Tribolium castaneum: one gene and its partner. The protein of the gene in region 1 interacts with the protein of each later gene in a pairwise test. Links are inferred from orthologs where the notes say so. Each region holds a gene or a part of one and is shown in the gene's direction. Other genes may lie near its edges.

The links.
Region 2: the proteins of CSN5 (region 1) and HDAC11 interact in a two-hybrid assay, tested with the Caenorhabditis elegans proteins (2 studies listed by BioGRID). The link is inferred for Tribolium castaneum from reciprocal best matches to the Caenorhabditis elegans genes csn-5 and hda-11.

What each region holds. Positions count from the first base shown.
Region 1 is NC_087395.1:23,654,302-23,658,137, reverse strand, and holds CSN5 (COP9 signalosome complex subunit 5), read left to right. Parts: upstream 1-1,504; 5' UTR 1,505-1,825; exon of another isoform or gene 1,826-1,869; 5' UTR 1,870-1,890; coding exon 1,891-2,048; intron 2,049-2,097; coding exon 2,098-2,974; 3' UTR 2,975-3,030; downstream 3,031-3,836. UniProt on the Caenorhabditis elegans protein: Probable protease subunit of the COP9 signalosome complex (CSN), a complex involved in various cellular and developmental processes.
Region 2 is NC_087402.1:4,112,268-4,115,932, reverse strand, and holds HDAC11 (histone deacetylase 11), read left to right. Parts: upstream 1-1,561; 5' UTR 1,562-1,802; coding exon 1,803-1,807; intron 1,808-1,855; coding exon 1,856-2,096; intron 2,097-2,142; coding exon 2,143-2,721; intron 2,722-2,772; coding exon 2,773-2,943; 3' UTR 2,944-2,965; downstream 2,966-3,665. Other genes in the region: myosin-9, read right to left, coding at 1-37, 80-467, 517-801, 854-926, 973-1,001; RIB43A-like with coiled-coils protein 2, read right to left, coding at 2,966-3,107, 3,155-3,261.

The sequences.
Region 1 (3,836 bases):
TGTTGGTCCCAAATTTATTCGCCAACCAAAACTCTGCATATAAAAATTTTTTGCTATATATACTTATTTATTTCGTCTTATTTCATATGTAGGGTAAAAATTACTGCTAAAAAACACTTTATTTGAAAATTTACGCTTATAGCGAACTGATTTTGATGTATTTCGTTATAACCGGACCCCACTGTAATAACGAGAATAGATCGGGACTGCTTTTCACGTTTCTGTCAATAATTTAAAAAGCGTCCTTCACGCAATATTACAATGTAAGCATAACAATTATTAATTTAATTGTCACGATTTAGAGCCGTAAACTTTTACTGGAGAATAACCGGTTGGGAGTCAAAATTAATCTTGAAACTGTCACAGCTTAGAACATTATCCGCACTACAAAGAGCCTATACATCACGAAACTAGTTGGAAATACCGTTGAACCCACCAAAAACTCACCTAAATTGAAACAAAGCTGCATTCGCTGGAAATCCTTGCGGTTATTTTAAAATTCGCAGCAGGTGGTATCTGGACTCGTTTAAAAACCCGGTTTACGCGTAAAAAACCTGGTTATTTTTAATTCGGGGGTAAAATCCCCTAGTCTAAATTTAGTTCGAACGGGAGGAAAGGAATTCATCGTGTTTCAATACGCGAGTATGTGGCCTTGGATTTGAATTTTTTACAGGCGCGTATTACATTGCAAGAAGACAGATAATAAACAAATTGCGTTTGAAATAAGCGATAACCGAACAATGCAAGTGCACCACAATGGTCGTTCCGTTGGGGATTTTCGGCACAGACATGTGGGTGCCACACCGACACCCTGACTCACCCTCGGACCCCAAGTCACGAATTCGCCCCTAATTACGGGGGACGTGCACTAACAAAGAACGCGGCCTAGCAACAGCCCCCAGCCTCAAGCATGGCCCCAATTTTTGAATTCTGCGACAACCGGCGCGCATCCCTCGACTCTAACGTCCCAAATCGCGAAAACTACGACATTTTCGCCGGCATTTGTTAGCGGAAATCGCCCCCCGGACCCAAAAATATGCTATTTAATTGACCACTTGGCCCAAAACTCACCTTATCCTCCTAAAATCCTATTTAAAACGAGCACAAATTCTACAACACAACGTTACCACACTACTTATTACAAACTTTTCTTTAACTAAAACGCGCATAATCTCGAATCAAAATGGCGGGCGCCCCACCATTATGCACCGAATGCCGCCCGCTGATTGGTCGGTTTGATTTAAGACGCTTTAGAATTGCCAACTGCTAAAAAACCACCCTAATAAAACTGTCAGGGTGTGGTTGGACTTGTTTATGGGTTTTAAACGATGAGACTCCAATTATACTCCCATAACGTTACACCGAATTACGGCCGGGCTTTACGTTCGCAAAAACCAACACAAAGTCGTTTCGTGCAAATGGGAAAAAAACAAAAGAAAAACGCTAATGGGACGACATCTGCAGGACTGTTAACACACTTTGCGAACACCTGTCCCACCTTGAAAAACACAATTCGGTAAAAATAGCCCAATGAAGGCAATAACGGGCCACCAAATGCCAAGCCACTCGTAAAATAATTATTTTCTGTGACAAAACTCCTTGTCGGTTTGTGCCACAAACAATTTATCGATTTTTTTTCATTACCATTATGCATTGTCTCATTATTACAGCAATTAATACGTAAATCGTCCCATATCTAAAAAAAAAAATTAAAAAAGTGTCCTTCCAGTTTTTATATTTACGATTGGTAGCGCTGTAATTTGACATCTGTGTTTTGACAGGTCCGATTTTTTCGAATTTTTGCCCAAAATAGCCCAGAATTACGGTAAATCCTCGTCATTTTCGCAATAACTCTCCATTTGTGATTAGCTTTTGCCCCCTTTTGCCGCAATGTCGAAGCCGGGGACCTCCGAAACCCAGGAACAAATCGCACAAAAAACCTGGGAAATGGCCAATAAAGTCGAACTGGTGAACTCGGTCGACGATATTTACCGCTACGACAAGAAGCAGCAGCAAGACATCCTCGCCGCGAAGCCCTGGGAGAAAGAGTAGGCAAAAGTCGGCCCTAACCTCACTTTACCTAATCTCAATTTCCAGCCCTCACTTCTTCAAAGATATCAAAATCTCGGCCTTGGCCCTCTTGAAAATGGTCATGCACGCGCGTTCGGGGGGCACCCTGGAGGTCATGGGCCTGATTTTGGGCAAAGTCGACGGAAACACAATGTTTGTGATGGACTCGTTTGCGCTGCCTGTGGAAGGGACAGAGACCCGAGTCAACGCACAAGCTCAGGCTTACGAGTACATGAGTTCGTACATCGAGGCTGCGAAGCTGGTGGGCCGCCAGGAGAACGCGATAGGCTGGTACCACAGCCACCCGGGATACGGGTGCTGGTTGTCTGGGATTGACGTTGGCACCCAGATGCTCAACCAGAATTTCCAGGAACCGTTCGTTGCCATTGTGATTGATCCTGTGAGAACCATTTCCGCGGGGAAGGTGTGTCTAGGGGCGTTCAGGACGTACCCGAAAGGGTACAAACCAGCAAATGAGGAACCGTCAGAGTACCAGACCATTCCTCTGAACAAAATCGAGGATTTTGGGGTGCATTGCAAACAATATTATTCGCTTGAAGTGTCGTATTTTAAATCGTCACTTGATAGGCGATTGCTTGATTCCTTGTGGAACAAATATTGGGTCAATACTTTGAGCTCGTCTAGTTTGTTAACGAATGCTGATTACACAACTGGGCAAATTTTTGATTTGTCGGAGAAGTTGGAACAGTCGGAAGCGGCCATTGGGCGCGGGGGGTTCATCGTAGGCGGCACTGATCCGCACGAAAAACGAACAGAAGACAAACTGTTGAAAGCTACAAAGGACAGTTGCAAGACTACGATTGAGATTATTCACGGACTGATGGCCCAAATGATCAAAGACCGGCTTTTTAACAGCACTTCCTTGAATAATTCGACCCATTAACGCGTTTTAATCTGTCTGATTTGTTTGGATTTAATAAATATTTATTTATAATCTAATTGGTGTGTTATTGGTTACCTAGTCCTAAAAAACTACGGATATCTAAAGGTTAGGATACGAAACGTCGTACAAATAAAACGTTCCCTTCCAAAGCAATGGATTTGAAAAAATTGTATTCGTATATCGGTTAACACAGCAAAAAAATACAGGCAAATGGAGCATTAAATTCTCAATAGTAAGACATAAACATAATGAAAAAAAAATACCGTAAACTACATTTAAAAAAATTTCAATCTTTGCCAATTAGCACTCTATCCCATATTTTTCAAAACGCTGGGAATACGATCAGCTTTTCTCAGTCTGTTCAGAGTGCAAAACTCAACATTCCTGCATTTTTTTTTTCAAGTAATTAGTGAATAATTGAATGAATTTAAATTAATTTAAAACGACTTGGCGCCGGTATAACGCTCGAAGTGCCCACATTTTTGCTTCACTTTTTGGGTCCAGAAAATCCCACGATTCTGCATCTCGTTCCGTCTCCTAAGTCATAGTCCTCCGTAGCAAAAACCCAACCGGATGCATTTATATTCCAGTGCAAACATTATGCAAACGATAATTGCGTCAAACACAAATTCTAGAATCAATCCTTTAAAAATAAAGATTTGTTGACACGTCGGAAGTACCAAACAAATTCTTGTTTTTCTAAGCCAGTTTCAAGGATAAGTGGTGCAGGGCAAATATTTTCCTCAAATATTTGCCTTTAATCTCCATATGCGATTCTGTTGACAAGTGAACGTGTTAAACCAATTAAAAACAGGCGGATTTGTTGGAGTTATGTTGTTCCGGGCCACTTTCATTTGTGCCG
Region 2 (3,665 bases), on another chromosome or scaffold:
AATTCGGTCAAAGTTTGGGAAAATCGCGCTGTTTCTTCTGCAAAAAAACGGTTTAAAGCGAAAAACAAGGGGAATTTACCTTTGGCTTCAGCTTCGCGCAAAAGCGCCGCGTCTTTTTCGTTAAGCGCCGCTTCAACAACTTGAAGAGCTTCCGAAACTTTGGCTTTACATTCTTTGACTTTGAGTTTCAAAGCGTCGATTTCTTCATTTTTGAGACGGACGTCTTTTTCCAACTTCTCCTTATTTCCGTTCGAGTCGTTGAGTCTTTGTTGGAGGTTCAGAATTTCGTCTTCGAGATTTTTTATTATTTTAAATGTGTTGTCCTGACTTTGGAGACTTCCAATAATTTCCTTGTCTTTAATTTGCAATTCCTTCGACTTTAAATTAATTGTTTCCTCTAATTTGACTTTCGTCCGAACGACTGTGTCTTGCAATTCATTTAATTTCGCTTCGTACGAATTTTTCAACTACAAAAAAATCTCGTACCTGACGAAATTAACAAAAACTATTATTTACTTGTGTGAGTTGGTTTTTCGGAATAAATCCTTCGGTGTTTTCGTGAAAAATTCGCAGCTCTGACTCAAGGAGTTCAACAGTAGATGCGGCATTTTGCCATAATTTGACCGCTTGTTCTTTTTCTTCAATTACAGTGTGCAGTTGTTTCTTCAAATTTTCAACCAAATCGCTCTCTTTGTACGTATGTTCAACTTCACATTTAGTTATATCGACGTAAACTCGCCCTAATTCATCTCTCAATTGACTATTTTCGTGGAGGGCTCTCTTGAGTGCTTTTTGTTCGGCCTAAAAACATGTTTTAGTCACACTTTTGTGAAAAAATTCACAAATTTGTTACTTGGACGTCGTCCAAATCCCCGGTCACCTCCTTGAGAGCAGCCTCATAATTTTCAATAAGTGACTGGAAATTTCTACAGAACGATAAATTCGTATCTTATTTATCTATTCCAAACTTACTGAATATTAATATCCCCTGAACTTATCATAATAATAACTCCAAAAAACCATTACGATGACATTTTTTGAAGGATTTCAAATTTTGAAAATGTGACAGAGACATCTGCCGAAGGTCACACCAAACGAGCACAAATTAAAACAGTCAAATGAGGATTATTCACGTTTATTTCAATAATTGTGCGATTATTTGCAAATAACGAAGAATTTTGACCAAATGTGGGTGTAAATAATGTGGCGATTTGTTTGTGTTTACGGGGAGTCGGTCTAATTTTACAGGTGGAACGATCGATAAGTGTCGGCGCTAATTTCGAATGAAGCGCCGAGCAAAAACCTAGAAGGTATTCCAGGCGAAGAGGCTGCTGGTGTATTTTGCACTGTTCTATTTTTGTTTCTGTATTAAATTGAACGACTTGTAAAAAACATCTTAATAAAATAATTACACGCTGAAAGCTTTTTTTTTACCTCAAACACTAAAAATTTTGCTTGTTTATTGATTACACTTACATTTAAATTGCCTGATTGCAAAACAATAAAAGAAATGTGTTTTTTTACGCTTGCAACTTATTGAATTTTGAAAATTTTGGGGAGACATCTGCCGAAGGTCGCGCCGAACTAGCACCAGCTGTAAGGCGAATAAGAGTGAAATGACAATTATTTCCGTTTATTTTAGTAACTGTGCGATTATTTGCAAATATTTGAAAGATTTTCGTTAAATGTGGGGGTAAATAGTGTTGCGGTTTGTTTGTGTTTACGGGGATCGACCTAATTTCAAATATCTGGTGCAGTGGCGATCGATAATTTTGGCGCGAAATTTGAATTGAGCGCCAAATATGAAGTGAGTGAATCCCAATTTTTGGCGCCACTTGAGCAAATAATTTTCCAGTACGAAATTGTATGTAGATATTGGACCGGAACAATGGCCGATTATTTATCGCCCGGAATACAATGTCCGTTTTTTGGGGTTGGAAAAATTGCACCCTTTCGACGCCGGCAAGTGGGGCAATATTTATAAATATTTGAAAAGTTGTGGTTTAGTTAACGACGAAACGCTTTCGGTGCCAAATGAAGCAACAACTGAAGACTTATTAACGGTGCACACTAAAAAGTATTTGAAAAGTCTGAAAGTAAATATTTTTGGGGGTTTTTCATGCGGTAATTTTTTTCTTGTAGTGTAGTTTTAACGTAGCGCTGATAGCGGAAGTGCTTCCGCTGTGTCTCGTGCCAAATTACTTGGTTCAAAGGGGATATTTGCGTCCGATGCGGTTCCAGACTGGCGGTTCTGTTTTGGCGGGAAAGTTAGCTCTGGAACGTGGCTGGGCAATAAATATCGGGGGCGGTTTTCACCATTGTTGCGGTAGCAAAGGTGGTGGGTTTTGTGTGTATGCTGATATAACACTATTGATCCATTTCGTGTTTAATCATCACCCTCGGAGCGTTCAAAATGTCATGATCGTGGATTTAGACGCTCATCAAGGTAATGGATATCAGCGGGATTTTAAAGATAATCCCAACGTCTACATCATAGACGTGTACAACAAAGGGATTTACCCGTTCGACAAACTTGCCAAGGAGTACATCACCCGAAAAGTCGAACTGGCACACTTTACCGAAGACGACGAGTATTTGGACAAAGTTGCAAAAAACCTAACCGAGGCGCTAGCCGAGTTCTGCCCCCAGCTGATCGTCTACAACGCCGGGACGGATATTCTCAAAGGAGACGCTTTGGGGTGCTTATCAGTCTCGCCCCAGGTTGATACTAATAACTGTCATAACAATGAAACTATCTGATTGACTTTCCAGGGAATCATCGAACGGGATGAACTGGTATTCCGGGAAGCCCGTTCCCGGAACATTCCAATCGTCATGCTAACCAGCGGCGGCTATTTGAAAAAATCGGCCAAAATTATTGCCACTTCGATCAAAAACCTACACGATTCGGGCCTAATAACAGGCCCTCAACTCCGCTACTAAAACTGAATAAAACACATTTTTATTATCTTGTTGATTTATTAAACTGGTCGTAGAATTCCGACGTTGGCGTGTTTTTATAAACGACTTTCTCCAAAAACTCCTTACGCTGTTTTTGCTCCACTGCCAACTTTCGGTTTTCCTCAGCTAAACTTTTCACCATTTCCCTGAAAAAACACATTTCGCTACATCCTTTTAAATTTTAATCACGAACCTCTGTTTCCGGGCTTCTTCTTTGTCCAGTAATGATATTGTGCGTTGCGTTCCGTTAATGTAATCGTCGTATTCCCGATTCATCCGCTTTTCCAACTCTTTGCGCTTCTAAAGAATTAAAAAGGAAATTAACCCACCCCGAGGCCCTTTCCAATATCTTTATTAAAGAACGTTAATATTATTGGGACGGTCCACTTAAACTAATTAGAAAAATTGCTGTTTGTGTGCCAAGGGAAGGACGTGCATTTTCTCCTGAAGATAAATTAATCATTTGGGGGACAGAAGAGACTTTCCTCTAGTGTTGTATATACCTATCATTTTTAGACGGCTTTATCCATCTTCTAATTTTTTTAATAAAGTAACTACTTTATTTTTTTATTTTTTTTTGTACTTGGTTATGTTGAGCCTTGGCTATATTTTGCCCAAATAAAAATTAGATGGATAAATAAATACTAAATAAATAAGTGTGGAAATTAGTAATCAGAATAGACGTTCATAAAATAGTATAAAAT